Lepisosteus oculatus: one gene and its partner. The protein of the gene in region 2 purifies or fractionates together with the protein of the main gene of each other region. This does not show direct contact. Links are inferred from orthologs where the notes say so. Each region holds a gene or a part of one and is shown on either strand. Other genes may lie near its edges.

Evidence for each region.
Region 1: the proteins of smarca4a (region 2) and bicra purify together in Homo sapiens (affinity purification with mass spectrometry; 4 studies listed by BioGRID and IntAct, with this or other methods). This does not show direct contact. The link is inferred for Lepisosteus oculatus from reciprocal best matches to the Homo sapiens genes SMARCA4 and BICRA.

What each region holds. Positions count from the first base shown.
Region 1 is NC_090698.1:6,319,153-6,326,451, forward strand, and holds the start of bicra (BRD4-interacting chromatin-remodeling complex-associated protein), read left to right. Parts: upstream 1-4,248; 5' UTR 4,249-4,268; coding exon 4,269-4,329; intron 4,330-4,984; coding exon of another isoform or gene 4,985-5,221; exon of another isoform or gene 5,222-5,315; intron 5,316-7,299. Other genes in the region: znf541 (zinc finger protein 541), read right to left, coding at 4,985-5,221. UniProt on the Homo sapiens protein: Component of SWI/SNF chromatin remodeling subcomplex GBAF that carries out key enzymatic activities, changing chromatin structure by altering DNA-histone contacts within a nucleosome in an ATP-dependent manner.
Region 2 is NC_090706.1:16,566,049-16,573,372, reverse strand, and holds the start of smarca4a (transcription activator BRG1), read left to right. Parts: upstream 1-4,305; 5' UTR 4,306-4,540; intron 4,541-7,324. UniProt on the Homo sapiens protein: ATPase involved in transcriptional activation and repression of select genes by chromatin remodeling (alteration of DNA-nucleosome topology).

The DNA.
Region 1 (7,299 bases), on a different chromosome or scaffold from region 2:
GCGCTCACTGAATAAAAATAAATGAGTGAATATTACTCGCCGATACTCACAACGCCGCGTAGTTACTGGGGTCAATCGCAATCGCGTTTTCCTGCCCGTTTCCTTCGCTCCCCAGATCAGATTATTTCAGTGCCGGTCGCTACCGCGGGCCCAGAGACCGGGTGGCCGTTTTGAAGTTTTTAAAGAAAATGGCGACCGAATTATTCAAGAAAGTCGAGCGATCAAGCGGCTCGAGCGATCGCGCTTTAGGCGGGAGGGACCGGGGATCGACTTCAAGTACACAGCGCGAGCGTCCCCTTCCCGCCCGCCGACCGACCGACCGCTCGAGCGCTCCTCCTCCGGGGTGCTGCCTCGCGGCCAGACCACGCGCCCGGACCCGAGCGGTGACGCAGTGGCGCCAACCTCGAGGACGGCGAGAGGGCGCGCCGCCATCTTCGCCCCCGCGCGGCTGTTTGGAACTGAGAGTCGCGAGATCCGGAATCCCGCTCTCGGGTCGGGTAAGAACCACGTGGCCTTCCGCGACACGAGTGGCAGTATCTCCCACTCCGGAGGTGGGGGGGGGGGCGTGTGCTCATGGGCTCCACTCGCCTCTCACAGCGCTCAAGGTTCGTTTACCCAGACTTCCGGGAAAAGGGAACTCGCTCGGACGCAGATTTTAAAAACCCTGCTATGAGCGCTGTTCCGTCAACTGGCGCGCCTCCCACTTGCGTGGAAACAAAACTGAGAAGACCCTCTCTGAATGCCCAGGCAGGGCCTGTACGTGACGTGTGACGTGTCACCTCTGCGATAGAAGCCTGGCGAAAAGCAGCGAGTAAACCTGTTTGTGTTGTTGCTTTATACACGACTGTCTTTTTTCTCGGAGTACAATACGGTCAGATACACCCGTGGTGAGCAGGTGACTCCCTCCCGCCGCCCGGCCCCGGGTGCGAACCCAGCCTGCAGCCGTCCCTCCCCCGGTCACTGACGGAGGTCGCCTCCGGACCTCACTGAGCTGCTTCAGCGCCTTGACAGTCTCCCACCTCTGGGTGGGGAGAGAAACACACACTGGTTCGGTTTGGGGAGCTGCAGCAACGAGGTTTTGGGGTCCCCAGGACCGGGCCTGGCACCAATGACCCCTCGGGCTCATTGCTCGCTGGCGTGACCCCTGCCTGACTCCGGTGTTATCATCATGGCCAGCAGCTCCATCACCCTGCAGCTCAGCTGGCAGCCCCCTGGAGCTCAGCAGTGTGAGCATGGTCAGTACCTGGAGGGGAGACTCCTGGGAAAGCTGAGGCTGCTGCTTTAGGGAGGGGAGTCCCCATTACCTGTAAAGCGCTTTGAGTGGAGTGTCCAGAAAAGCACTATATAAGTGTAAGCAATTGTTATTATTATTATTATTAAGAGGTGTTAGTGGGACCAGTAGGGGACGCTCACCCTGCGGTCTGTGTGGATCCTAATGCCCCAGTATAGTAATGGGGACACTATACTGTAAAAAGGTGTCGTCCTTCAGATGAGGCGTAAAACCGAGGTCATGATTCTCTGTGGTCATTAAAAATCCCAGGGTATTTCTCGAAAAGAGTATGGATGTAACCCCGGGGTCCTGGCCAAATTTCCCCCTGGACTTTACCGGTCATGGCCTCCTAATAATCCCCATCTCTGAACTGGCTTCATCACTCTGCTCTCCTCCCACTGAGAGCTGGTGTGTGGGGAGAGTACTGGTGCACTATGGCTGCTGTCGCATCATCCAGGTGGGGGCTGCACACTGGTGGCAATGGTGGCATTCTCCATTACTGTAAAGCGCTCTGAGTGGAGTGTCCAGAACAGCGCCATACAGGTGTGAGGATACTGTTATTATTTTTGTCACGATAGTCACCTGCTGTCTGCACAGCAACACTCCCCATACCTCCGTGGCCTGGAGAGCAACAGAGGACTCTACTCTCCTGCTCCTGGGGTGGCCAGTGTACCTGCAGGATTCCAGTCCAGCTGTGCTCTTAAGCGCCCCAGTCATTTCCTTACTGGCTTAATCAGACCAGTTTGTTAATTTCTCCCTACTCTTCGGATGCTGCTGGTCTAGGGCGCACCGGACCCCTGTCCGTGAACCTAGGCTGCGCCTGTGTCAATACATCACGTCACCGAGACTCCGAAACAGACGCGGAAGCGATCTGTCGCCTTCTTGTGGGAACCTTTTGCAAAAACATCTTGGTGTGTGTGCGTGTTGGAAGAGGGGGCGGCTCGTTCAGAGAACAAAACAGAACAGCTGACTGGAAACACCACTGCACTCATTTTTTACGGTCGTCGCCTTGTGCAGTTTGTACACGGCCTTATGAGTATTTTTTTTTGCTGTTTTTTTTTTCTGCCATCGCCTATTGGGATCCGACACAACTTTTGGAGAAAGAGACGAGACCAGGGTTATGTCCTGGCGAAAACATGTCTCCCGGTCGCCATCGCTGTTCGGCGTCACATCACAATCAGCGAAATAAAAATCGATAATAAAGCGAATCGGAACCGTAGCTCCCCCGGTTATCGCGCTCCTGTCACTAACGCTCTCTGTCTCTCTCTGAAGTAGGACTGATTTTTTTTTCTCTGTATTTCTGTCCCAAAGTAAACCCGTCTGTAGCCCCACCTTAAAGCGTAAACACAAGCCTTAACTCTGATTCAAATCCAGCCAATCAGGAACTATAAACAACAGCCGGGGCCACGCCTTCTTATTAATGATTTCCCCTCTCTGCCAATCATTCCACGATCCGCCAATCAGCGAGCGGCTAGGCTCCATCCTGCGCCGACCCTTTCTTTGTGATGTTTTTAAGTTTGAGCCAATCAGCAGCGGCGTTTTCTCATTCCTTACAACCCGTTTGGTCATAGGAAGCGCCAGGGCCTCGGCTGGGGCTGTCCCTGTTTACGCCTGACTGAATCGTTTTATTATTTACTTCAGATCCTTCAAAGAAGTCAGTGCTACCCTTCCTCTTTCTTCTGGATGTCATGTTTATTTTATATGTAGTTCTGCAGCATTTCTTACATAAACTCATCTGTCAGAATTGAAGATTTGATGATTTACTAAAATCTTGATTTTTGGTAACCCAGAATTTAATAACTCAGTGTGTGTCTTTTCATATTTGAGATTTTGTGTGAGCATGTGTGTGATGGCACATCGGTGCCTGAGAAACAGAAAAGACAATCACCAGCTATCTGTAATTCCATCTCTCCAAGATAGACCTAAAACTCCCCCTAAACTCTACAGATGGAATAAAGGGAGCTCTAGGCCCTTGGAAAATTAGATTCTGTGTGACCAGGACTTACAAGAAGAAAGTACAATTTTAAAGAACGTGTCTTTCCTGTTATTCTTTTTTATTTAATGAGCCCTCTTTAAAATGTTATACTTGCCCTGCTAGTTAAGACCTCTCTCCCCGATTTGCACTGCCCGTTCGGTAGCTGTTTCCTGAAGGAAGTCGGGGTATCAGCTTGTTCCACACTCCCGCCCCCCTTTGGGTAAGGCTTGGGCATCACTAGCTGAATGACAGGGTTAGTGGATAAGGACTCGGGACTCCTAACTACAGGGAGAGGGAGGGGGACACTGTCTATGATTAAGACCTAGAACCAGGAGGTGAACTAGAACCGTGTAGTGAAGGGACTGTCCTGCTGGAAGCAGGCTGTGTTCCTTCAGCGTTTTTTATTGGTCTGAGTGTAAACGGCTGGTGCAGAAGTAGACCAGGGTAGAGTCCCCAGCTCCTCACCCTCACTCAGCTCCTAATGATGCTCATCGTGGGCTCCTCCGGACATGTTCACAATAGACAGTGCTGCACACCGAATCAGGCATTGTTCAGTGTTACTGTGCAGCTACAGATGATCAGTCTTTACAGTATCTACAGGTCTGAGGATGATGAGTGTCAATGTGAGGTTACAGATGACCAGACTGAGAGTCTTTACAGTATCTTCAGGTCTGAGGATGATGAGTGTTAATGTGAAATTAGTTATAAAGGGAACAGACATTTGGAAGCTTTTTTTCCTTGACTAGGCTAACCTTTGTGGTTATGCAATACACACTGCCAGAATGAAGTAATTCACATCTCCCATGAAACAAATAATGTCTGATGTGAATCACCTGTTTCACGATTCAGTCAAAATAAGATCGAAAGCAATCAGTCAAAAGGAAATCAAAACAGTTACTACTGAAATGACCTGTGTGCTGTAATCTGCTCGCCACAGACTGGCAGGAGTGCGTCTGATTTTTGGTCAGGCGATCGCGCCGGGCCGCCCTGCCCTGCTCCGTTTGTTGCTCTGCCGGGTCCTGTATGGGAGCCCGTGCGGGGCTGTGCCGGAGACCCCGCGCTGCCTGCACCTCTATCGTCTCGGGTGAGTTTGTTACAATGTAGCAATTTCTCTATAAATCTGTATAACTCGAATAAAGCCGCAACATCTGCACACTGCAGGTGGATCGCAAACCCCGCTTTTACTGCCCGCAAAATGCCAAAAAAAACACGCACGGCTGGGCCGGAGGAGCGATTTTACAGCGAAATTCCCAAACATACCCCCCCCTCCCGGTCCAAGTGTATTCCAACATTAACTCAATATTTAGACGCAATTGCGTTTGAGGAATCACTAGATAGAAAGAAAATAACCAAATCATGTCTGCCTGGCACATAATATGTTTCAGGGATTCATCTGAGCAGTGCGTAGCTGCTTGCAATATGTTACTGTCAGATATCTTGTGTGTAAGGCTCGCTTTTCTACACATTTAGACTTCCAGCTCCAGACCTCAGCTCTGCCTGTCTCTCTGTACCTGCACGCAATAGATTCGCATTCGCTCGGCTGCAACGGCACGAGAAAAGGGGGTTGTGTTGAGAAGGAGGGGGAGGTGGGTGGGTGGAAAGAAGACTTTTTTTTTGTGTGTGTGCGAGGTGAACAGCCGCCAGTATCCGTCCGTCCACGGAGGCGAGAAAGAGCCGCCGCTTCGCCTTCGTCTTCCTCCCCGTCTCCCCCGCGCGAAAACAAACCCAAACAAACTTACTCGGGGCCGGCCAGGCGGCGGGAGGAGGAAGTTGGGCTCTCTGGGACGGGCCGTGCGCGTCCGCGGGTCTGTGCCGGAGCCCGGCCGCTGTGCCCCGGGCTCCCTGCGCCCTCCTCCCTCGGGGGGGGTGGTGGTGGTGGGGGCCAGCGAGCTGGCGAAAGCCAGGGCCCCGTCCGCTTCCTCTCTGTCCGAGCGGGGTTGTCCTGGGCTGGTGTGCTGGTGTCCAGCGGCTGTCATGGGGCTGAGCGCTGAGTGTTTTCAGTGAGGGAGGGAGGGCAGTGTGGCTGAGGGCTTCTCTGCTGTCTCCGTCCTCGCCGCTCGGACGTGAAGTTGGTCCTCCCTGCCCGCGGAGTGGATTTAATGGGTTAATGGCTTAATTGGTTTAACTCCATTGGAGCTGTGATTGTGATGAGCTGCCAGTTCGACTGACCTGAGCTCTGCTGTTCTCGGGAAGTTTTGCTAGGTGGCATGTCGACCTGGGAGCCCAGATTCTGGGCTTTGGGGGTGGACTCTAGGACTGTATGGACCGGGGGGGCCGGAGTCTGGGCCGTACAGACTGGGGGGCCGCACTCTGGGGTGTATGGACAGGGACTTTGTATGGTGTCCTCTCCTGGTGTGGGAAGTCTGCAGGATGTCCAGCATATTTCTAGGTGTCCCCCAAGGGCGGTACATACTGTGGGACCACCTGTGTCCTGCGCGTTCGGATCAGGGCCTGGGAGAGCTGGATGGTGGCTCTCCAGGGCTGTGTGTGAAACACTCACGCTTCATGGAGACCAATTACTAACGACTAGTTACTGGGCTAACTGCTGGGGTTGCAGACAGATGCACCACAAGCACTTATTATATCTGCCAGTCGTAAACGAGAGGTGGCCACTGGGTCCAACCAGTTTGTTCGGATCTCATCCAGCTGTTTCTTGAGAGCAGCCAGGGCATCGGCATCATGGCTGGGCAGCTCGCTCCATGCTCCCACCACTCTTTGAGTAAGGAGGGATCTCTTGTTTTCGCTCATAAATGCACTTCTCTGTCATTTCCTGATTGGTCTGCTCGCTTTGCTGTTGGTCCTGAGGTCCCCTTCTTGCTAGGGTATCAGCAACTTTTCAGGATAGTTCCCATCATCCTCCTTCTCTGTGACGGTTAACGGGATGGAGCTCCTTTATTCTCTTTGTGACTTTCCTGTGAGGCTGGGAATTAACGTTGTTTCCCTCCTCTGGACGGAGGTCCGGAGCAAACGTTGCTCTCTCTAACATGGCGACCAAAACCTCAGTCCTGCCCAACACGCTTGAGAAAGTGACCCTACTTCCCTGGACCTGACTCCTGTGCCTCGTGTGCTCAAGTTGCCGGCCTTGTTGAAGAGCTGCAGGAGGACACCAGAGTTGTCACAGACAACACGTCTTCGAGCTCCCCCCCCCCCTGCTGGTATGTCTGACGTACCTTCTTACAAGCTGCAGGTGTGCTAAATAGTGCTCATTTGTCTGAGCTCTCTTCTAAAGTAGCGAAACGCTTGCTCATCCCAGAGCCAGCAGCTGCGCAGAGCTCACATCAATGAGCTCGTTGGGAGGCGGGGGGCTGGCCTCTGCGGGGGCTCTGTGGGGGGTCCTGCCCCTCCGGCGGAGGCGGAGGAGTGGGGCATCGCTCTCCCACTAGGGCAGTTTCGCCAGCAGCGCGTGAAGACCTCGGCAGGTGGGCAGGTGTTTGGGAGGCGAGGGGGTGCCAGTATGGATGCCCATTGTTCTGGCGTGCTTGCTTGGGTTGGGTTGGTTTCTCAGATGCCGTTGCGCGAGGGTGGGTGTTCAGGTCTGTTGAGGAGGGAAGGGATTATCTTCCCTAGGAGGCACAGATGTGTCTTCCAGATGTGGGATCCGCTGTGTTGCTGCTTGATCACATCCTGGACTTCCTGCTGGCAGGGAGCAACAGTGGGAAGCCCGGTTATGGGAAGAGCCCCATTCCCCGTCTCCGTCTCCCTCCAGGTGAATCAGTTTTGTAAGCTCCGTCCGGAAAGGTCCAGGATAGATCCAGCTGGGAAGCTCTTCTCTAGTGTTCAGGTGGTCATCCGGCTGCGGGCCTCGCCGATCCCTCTCCCAAGGATGGATCTCCATTCGGAATAATTGTTTTTCGAGCTCTTCCGGCAGGGATTGTGGTGGGCAGTGTCTCGGGGCGAGTGAGAAGCGGAGCAGCCTTTCACAAGCACCTTCGTACTGGGAGCGCAGGTGTGGCTGCAGCTGGATTCTGTGTCCCTGAGAAAGTCTTAATAATAGTAATAATTAATAATTGCTTACACTTATATAGCGCTTTTCTGGACACTCCGCTCAAAGCAC
Region 2 (7,324 bases):
AGTGCCAGTTTGCAGTCACAAACTCTAGTTAGCTCACGTTAACACTAGCAGGAAATGTTAAATGACTTCCTCAGTTGTACAGTCTAGAAGATGGGAGTCTAGATTTTGTTTTGCATCTTTTGGTGGTGTTTTTTTATTTATTTTATTTCTTCAAAACAAATTGTTCCGGGGATATGCTGGACAGGTGCAGACGGCTGAGTTGGAAATGGGAACAACCTGTTCTGAAAGAAGGGCAGTTGTTCCCGAGTTGGGTTAGCGCTGAGCCCTGGGTATGCAAATCTAGCCGGCTTTCTTTTTTTAAAGACGTTTTTACAATCGGACAAAGTTCTTTCGTTTAGTATGTGATTATATTTATAAAACGGCAAAGGAGTTTTTAGTGATTGAAGATTGTCTTCTCGAAGTGCTCCCCCTCTTGGAAGATGAATTCTGCATTGCACAGCTCTGTTTAACACTGATGCTTGAAAAGGTTCTGCACACGCCCTTTGTGAGTAAAACCGAGTAACTCGTAGGCTCACGTTAGCAAAGTGACCTTTAGGCTTATAGTAATAGGGCAAAAGATCTCAACAGTCACTGCTCCTCTCTGTGTGCTGTGAACAGAGGCCTTACCTGAAATTCATCTGCAAGCCAAAGTATCGAAGTGTGTTATCTAAGCAGAGAGTGGAGGATGCTGTTAAACTTGTCATCTTTTCAGGAAGTCGGTTCTTTCCTGCATGGTAAGCGCAGATAATGGGGCAAATTAGCCATGGGGTTAAGCATTCCTCTCTTGAGGTAGAAAACAGGCCCACCTGTGTCGGCAAGGCCCCAGTCCAGAAGACTCTCTAATCTTTCCCAAATCCTCAGAGCCACTAAAGCCTGTTGCTGTGGGTCTTCAGCTGGTCCTGTCCTGGAGGACAGGCACATTTTAGATCTTATATCCTTCTTTAGAGAGCTGGCTCTTTAAGGGCTGCTGAAAGGTACTGCACTGCTGTAATTCAGTTGGCTCAAGAACTGAGTGGGAAAACATTCAGACCTATCGAATTGGAATGGGGGACCCCAAACTGAATGGTGTGGCAGATTGTGGCCTTTTAAGGATCCTAGTGCTGACTCCTGGCTCGTACAGCTGTAACACATGTTCCTCTGGCTTCTGCATTGTGGGATTATGCCCTGATCGGATACCCATGTTGAATATGTCGAGTCTAGGAAGAACATCCTACCTCTCGGGCCAAACGAAACTGCCATCGCAAATACAGCCTGATGTTTATATTTGCAGGTCGTGTTCGGACTTCTGTCCAGTCAAGCACCTTCCATGTGAATCTGGCCACACAGATCTTCCCCACTGGGTTTTCATCACAAATTGCACTCGGGTAATTTTGTTTCTGTGCTGGATAGTGGCCTGATTCACCACGTTGAAGTGCTGAATTACACTTCAGTCAACAGAGCAGTACAGCAGTAGTCCCTCCTCTCTGCAGGCACTGTCCCCCTCTGGGTCAGTTTCGCCCGCCGCCGCCCACGTCTGGATTTCAGCGGTCGTCTTTGTCTAGTAGCCTGCGCTTTCAGGTTTACACCAGCAAGTTGAGCAGCATGTTCAGATCCGTCCCTCTCCCAGTCAGTGTTTGTACTGTTTCCATCATGGCCGGAAGTGCTGCGTGTTCTGCTTTGATGGGTGCCAACGGAGAGCTTTGTGATTTCTTTCTACATCCCTAGCTCTTTGACACCTTCTCCTTGATCCCCCGCCCTTCTGGTTTTAAGAGTTAAATCAGTTTTTATCGGCATCTTTCTGACTGGTCTTGGCACACAAACTTGAGGGGGTGGGTGGTTAAGTCGCCCCGTCTTCATAGCTACACAGTCTGGGCTGGCTCTGTCAGGCATTGTCTGTGTAGTGTGGAGTTGAGGCCTTTCTAATATACAGCCCTGAACCTTATGTGCGAAGTCAGCATTAGCCTTCCTATGAAAGGTTATTCATCTGACGCGGCCCATCTTTCGGTGGACAGGACGGCTCTGCTCATGCCACTGACTTGAAAGTGACAGTGGATCCAGGCCTAGGTGGTCGTATGCATCAGTGCTTTGCTAGCATGCGCTCTCCTGCCAGGAAAAACCAAAAATCACTACTGCAGGGTTGAAGTACAGGTGCTGAGCTCCCATAGCTTTGCCTTTTCCCGGTCATAGAAAAGCTCTGGTTCGAGTACCATGATGCCTGCAGTTACTATGCACCATTAATTTATTGGGCCTAAAATATTTGGGACAAAGGAGCAACCGAAGGACCATAGCAAATCGGTGCTAATGTAACGCTTGGCCACATCTGTTTGCTTTCTTTTCCTAGCACCCATGTTTCTGGAGTCTATTGATTCTTCCCTCTGCATAGTGGAGAAAGATCTAAGATGTCATTCCAGCCACAAACCCACACAGCAGGCCATGCACAACCCGATCGTCACGCCCGACTTTGTATCGGGAGTATAGTTCTTGATGCGTATCTACTGTGTAAATTATCTGACTCCAGTGTTGGACCCCTGCTGTGTGATGCAGTTTTCTACCTGGGGATTGTACATTTAAAAAAAAAAAAACTTTATATGTACTGTGTATATTTAAACACTTCCGTTTAATTCAATGTTTAAAGTTAGGAACATTTTTTTTTTTCCAAACAAAATCATCAGGTCTAGTTCTCCTTGCATTCAGATTTATTGTACTTAAAAAGATTCTGAAAGCAAACTAATCCTCTTCCTGTGTCTTTCCACGGAAGAGTTTGCACAAAACATGCTGAAAAACAATAAATTGTTTTTTAAAAGAAGAAAGAAATTTACAACGATGTCTGCTTGTTTTAATTGCTTTTTCTTGATTTACCTTTATATTAATGGAAAAAATGAACAACTGTAGGGTGGGTTTCTGTGAATTTTATTGAAAATCTCTCCCCAGTGAGATGTTCATAGGGTGGCTTCAATTAACAGTACAGTATGGAGTGTGATAATAAATTAAAGGTTTAATGATAGAAGCCAATGCAAATACAAGAGCAGTGAGTGTTGCCCATTTCTACTGGTTTGAGATTTCTAGTGTTCAAGCTGGTTCGAGTTACCTGCAGCAAAATGACCTAATTCTGTTCTGGGGGGGATTTATCGGCTGCTTTCTTTCCAAATTGGCGCTGTACAACCTGAATTGTCTTATTTTCTTAATCAGAACAGTTCACCTGCTTCCAGCTCTCTAGAGCTAGGCTCGATGTACTTGGTGGACCCAGTTATTTGAACTGGAGGGGAAAAAGTATGCTGTATATGGGATATGATTTTTCAAATGTATTTTATAAACTATGTGGGATTTGCTGGACTCTGGAGCAAGAGGTGTTCCAGTGTTGTACTGCCTCTCCTCGACTGCTTCTAACGGGCTGGGTAGGGAGAATGGGGGTGAGGGTCAGTAATTGGGCAGCACTGGTCTCCTGGCAGAGGTGCAGTGCCGGAGGAAGACACGCAAGTGGCACTGTGGCACCAGCCTCTGAGAGAGTCCATGGTCCTTGCTAGAATTCCCATAAGGCTTGTCCAGGATGGTGGTCGAGACGTGCTGCCAGGGCCAGAAGACACCTGCTGCTCTGCCCGTCCTCCCTCCCCCAATCAGCGCCGGCGTGCTGAGTGCGTCCAGGCCGTCCCGGAAACGGCTTCACGGGTTCGGGCCTGCGCGCCGTCGCGGAGACAGGCAGCGTCGGCCGCGGGCCGGGTGTCGGGCTCCGCGGTTCCGCCGGGATAAACGTGCCGCCGGTCCCTGAGGAGGGCGAGGTCTTCGACTCCACTCCTGGGCTTCCTGGAGTCTGAGCGCTGGGGCTCCATCCCGCGACCCAGCGGCAGTCTCATCCTCCTTTTCTCGAGAACCTGGTGTCTTCTGGGTTTTTTTCCCAAACTGATTAGTCATTTAAAAAAAAAGATATCTTCTGACCTAAGCGGGATTTTGCTTGACCCTTCATTCTCACTTTTTAACAGATGATAAAACTTAGGGAGAGGAAAAAATAGTTTCCAGGGACCACTTTAAACATGTTGCCAAGGTACCTTTCGGAACATACGAATATAGGAGACCCTGGGGAAATGCACGATTACTGCGTAAAAACGCTTAGCGACCAAACTATTTACGCTCTCTGTGCGATTTCTGAATCTACTCTGGTGCTAGAGTACGGGTGAAAGGAGGTTATTTGGTAAACGACAGTGTACTGCTCTTCAGGTGCAAGACGTGAGCGAGCCGCGTACGCGCACTCGGCGCTGTTTGAGAGTAACCCCATCCCCCACCTCGTCCAACACGTCCGGCTGAGCCGCACCGGCCGGCCTCTTTGCCGCGGCGCATTCCGCCTGCAGTGGTGCCGGCACTGCGCCTGCGCTCGGACAAGCCGGCCGGGTTTTAGAAAAAACAAAACAGAGAGAGAGAGAGTGGAGGAGGGGGGGCGCTAACGCTCAGACTCTATGGTTGGTGTGGCTGGAGAAATACAGTCAGGCGACAGAGAGAGGGAGGGGGGTGCAGCCAGCAGGGAGCTCTTTGTTTCCGCAGAAAGCGAGGGGGAAGACGCGCCGGTGAGACCTGCATTTGCCCTGAGCTGGTAAGCGCCCCTCGATTATTGCTCCGTTGAGTCTCTACGTGGCCTTTTCACGAAAACGGGTCCTATTTTTTGCCTTTTTTCCCCTTCGTTCATTTGTTTGCCGGTCTGGAGCTTTTCCTTCTTTCCTTTTCCTCCTCCTCCTTCCCCTGCGCTCGGCTCGTCAGCTGAAAGATGTTTCTCCTTGGTCCGTGTGCTTGTGAGCCACCGCTCAGCTCGAATGAATGAAATTATTTTATGGGGGAAATACAGACCGGGAAGGGTACGGGAGGCCGGGCGGATCAATACACTTAAAAAATAACGTTTTGCCTTTTTTCGCTGCTGGGATTTCTGAAAACATCAACTTAAAATATATATCCAGCGTAGGCTAAGCGAGAGAAACCAGCATGGCCGGCTGGTAGCTCTTTGTCTCCCGATTTTCACCCTTTGTATCCAGCTGAACGAAATTCCAGTTTTTATTCGAAAAATGAAGAATTTAAATACCCCCTTCTCACACGGCCAAGTTCAGAGAGACATTTTTTTCCTCCATAATAAAAGCGTCTGATAATGATGTATAGGCGTTACTGTGTTTCTTTTTACAATGAGAACAAGCTTTTGTGAGGTAGGTTAATATTGACTTTTTCCGATGCTGAAATAATTTAAATGTATTTATTCTATTACTGTACTCATCGCACCTAAACACGAATAAACGCCTTTTCAAAGCCGCCAGACTCTACTATGGCTGTTTAGACGTTTTTTTTTCCTTTCCTTGTTGATGTTGGTAATGTTGAGACTGCCTGTTTTGTTATTGGACAGACATTTTGTGTTTATTCCAAATTATCATAACGTGTTTAGGATAGAAGATACAGAAGAAATATTTAAATGTATATCTCCCCAATCGGTTATAAGTATCAGGTACGTTTTATCTTTAGGAAATGTCATTTTTATACTTTGAAAATGACTGTATCTGTCCCACCAGTTCAACTCGAGTTTTCAAATTGAAGGATTCTTTAGGATTTGAAGCCTGTGCATCTGAGGGGTTAAAGGCCTCAAAATTAACATTTTACTTAACAAATCAACAACACAGACGTTATTTAAAAGTTGTAATAGCCCCGTCGCACTCTACCTTTCTTGTAAAAGGTTGTAGTCCGGGATGGTGTTTTAATTTTTCCCCATTTTAGCTCTCGGTAAACTTCCCTGTCGCCAATTCTGTCCTGTCTGCAGTCGGTGTATGAACCATTCTTAAAGGTTTACAGCTACCAGGGTGTGTAAAAGTCAAGTGTTTAATTGAGAATTTTCTATCATTTGGAGAGCTTTTGTAAGCTTTTGAGTCCACATAAAACTCTCTAGCAGCGTTAGGTTGTGTAGGTAAATTTGGGATGCTTTTATCAATGAATATTTGGGGGGTCCATTAGAGTTGCAGCCTCCAGCTACACAAAAAAGTGCTTTTGTAGGGGGGGCTGTAGCCATGGGTTCAGGGAACTCTAATCTGGGTTGTCAAAGGAAAATACGTATGTTCTGTTTTCCTTACTTACGCCACAACAGTGGTTTTAAACCAAACTCTTCTTTTCTCGGAGAAAGTGTGCCGGCCCGTTGCGCAAGGTCTTGGGTTCCCTTCTGCTTTTCTGTATTATGCACAACCCCAGTCCTCTCCGTGCCCACCCCTTGTGTTGTTGTGACCTCCATGTGTAAGTGTTTTATTTGCAGAAAATGGAGTTTTCTCCAAGGGCTTGTTGTAAGTGTGTGATGGACTGGTGTCCCACCCAGGGTGAATCGTTCCTTGCGACTGTTGCTTGCAAGGATAGTCTCTGGGTCTCGCTGCAACCTTGGGCTGGATGGATAGTTTTCCCGCTGCCAATCTGAAGAGGACTCAACAGGAAAATGGCAGTGAGACCACCTCATCAGGATGCGTTTGTGCTAAAATGCTGGATCGTCACAGTGTCTTTCACTTTCAAATGATCGTGCCCGTCAAGATCAACAAGATGCGCTGATTTACTGAGTCAAGAGTTGCTCGAGTTGGGTCATTCACATTCTATATCTTTTTGTGAATCGGATTAAGATATCCAGTTCTGTCTCGTAAACAGAAGGGAACTCTGAACGTGTAGCGCTGCTCTCTGCACAAAAGGTGCAGCATATTCACATCTTCACCAGTTTGCAGTTTGACCTGTCGGTCTGATGGAGAGCCCAGACATCTGTTTGTGACTGATGAGTCTGTATCAAAGTTCTAGTATTCAATGCAAGAGTTCTTCTGGAAAAAGGGACCCGACCGTGTCGAGAGGCAGTGACACCCACATATGGAAAACTTTCTGAAAGCTTGTTGTTTGATATTTACTTACAACCACTAAGTCCATATGTGGATATATAGGGGCAGTACTTTGTATCGACGCAGAGCAATATGTGGATTCACAGTGGTAGGGCTTTATCTGCAAGCCCTTCTGGAGTGGGTAGATGATAGCACAGTCTAGACAGACAGCTGTGGCAGGTCCTGTACCTGTTGATGAAGTTGCAGATGTAGTATATAGGCTCTCCTGCGAAAAGCTTTTTCAGTGTTGATTGTTTATGAGAAGGGGTCGGGCAGTATATTAGCTATGTGGATCATGCCAATTCTCTGGAGCCCTGTTCTGTAGTGGAGCACCTTGCACTGACGAGCTTGCTAGGTGTCGGTGTCTGTTTTTCTCGATGAACCAAAATCTAAAGAGCGACAGGCCATGATCGTTCGGGGCCGCTGAGTCTTCTGTGCTTGCTTGGCTCCTCTTGATTCATTTAACAGCAGGGGGAAATTCGTTTCGGTTTTGTGTTGGAGTGCTA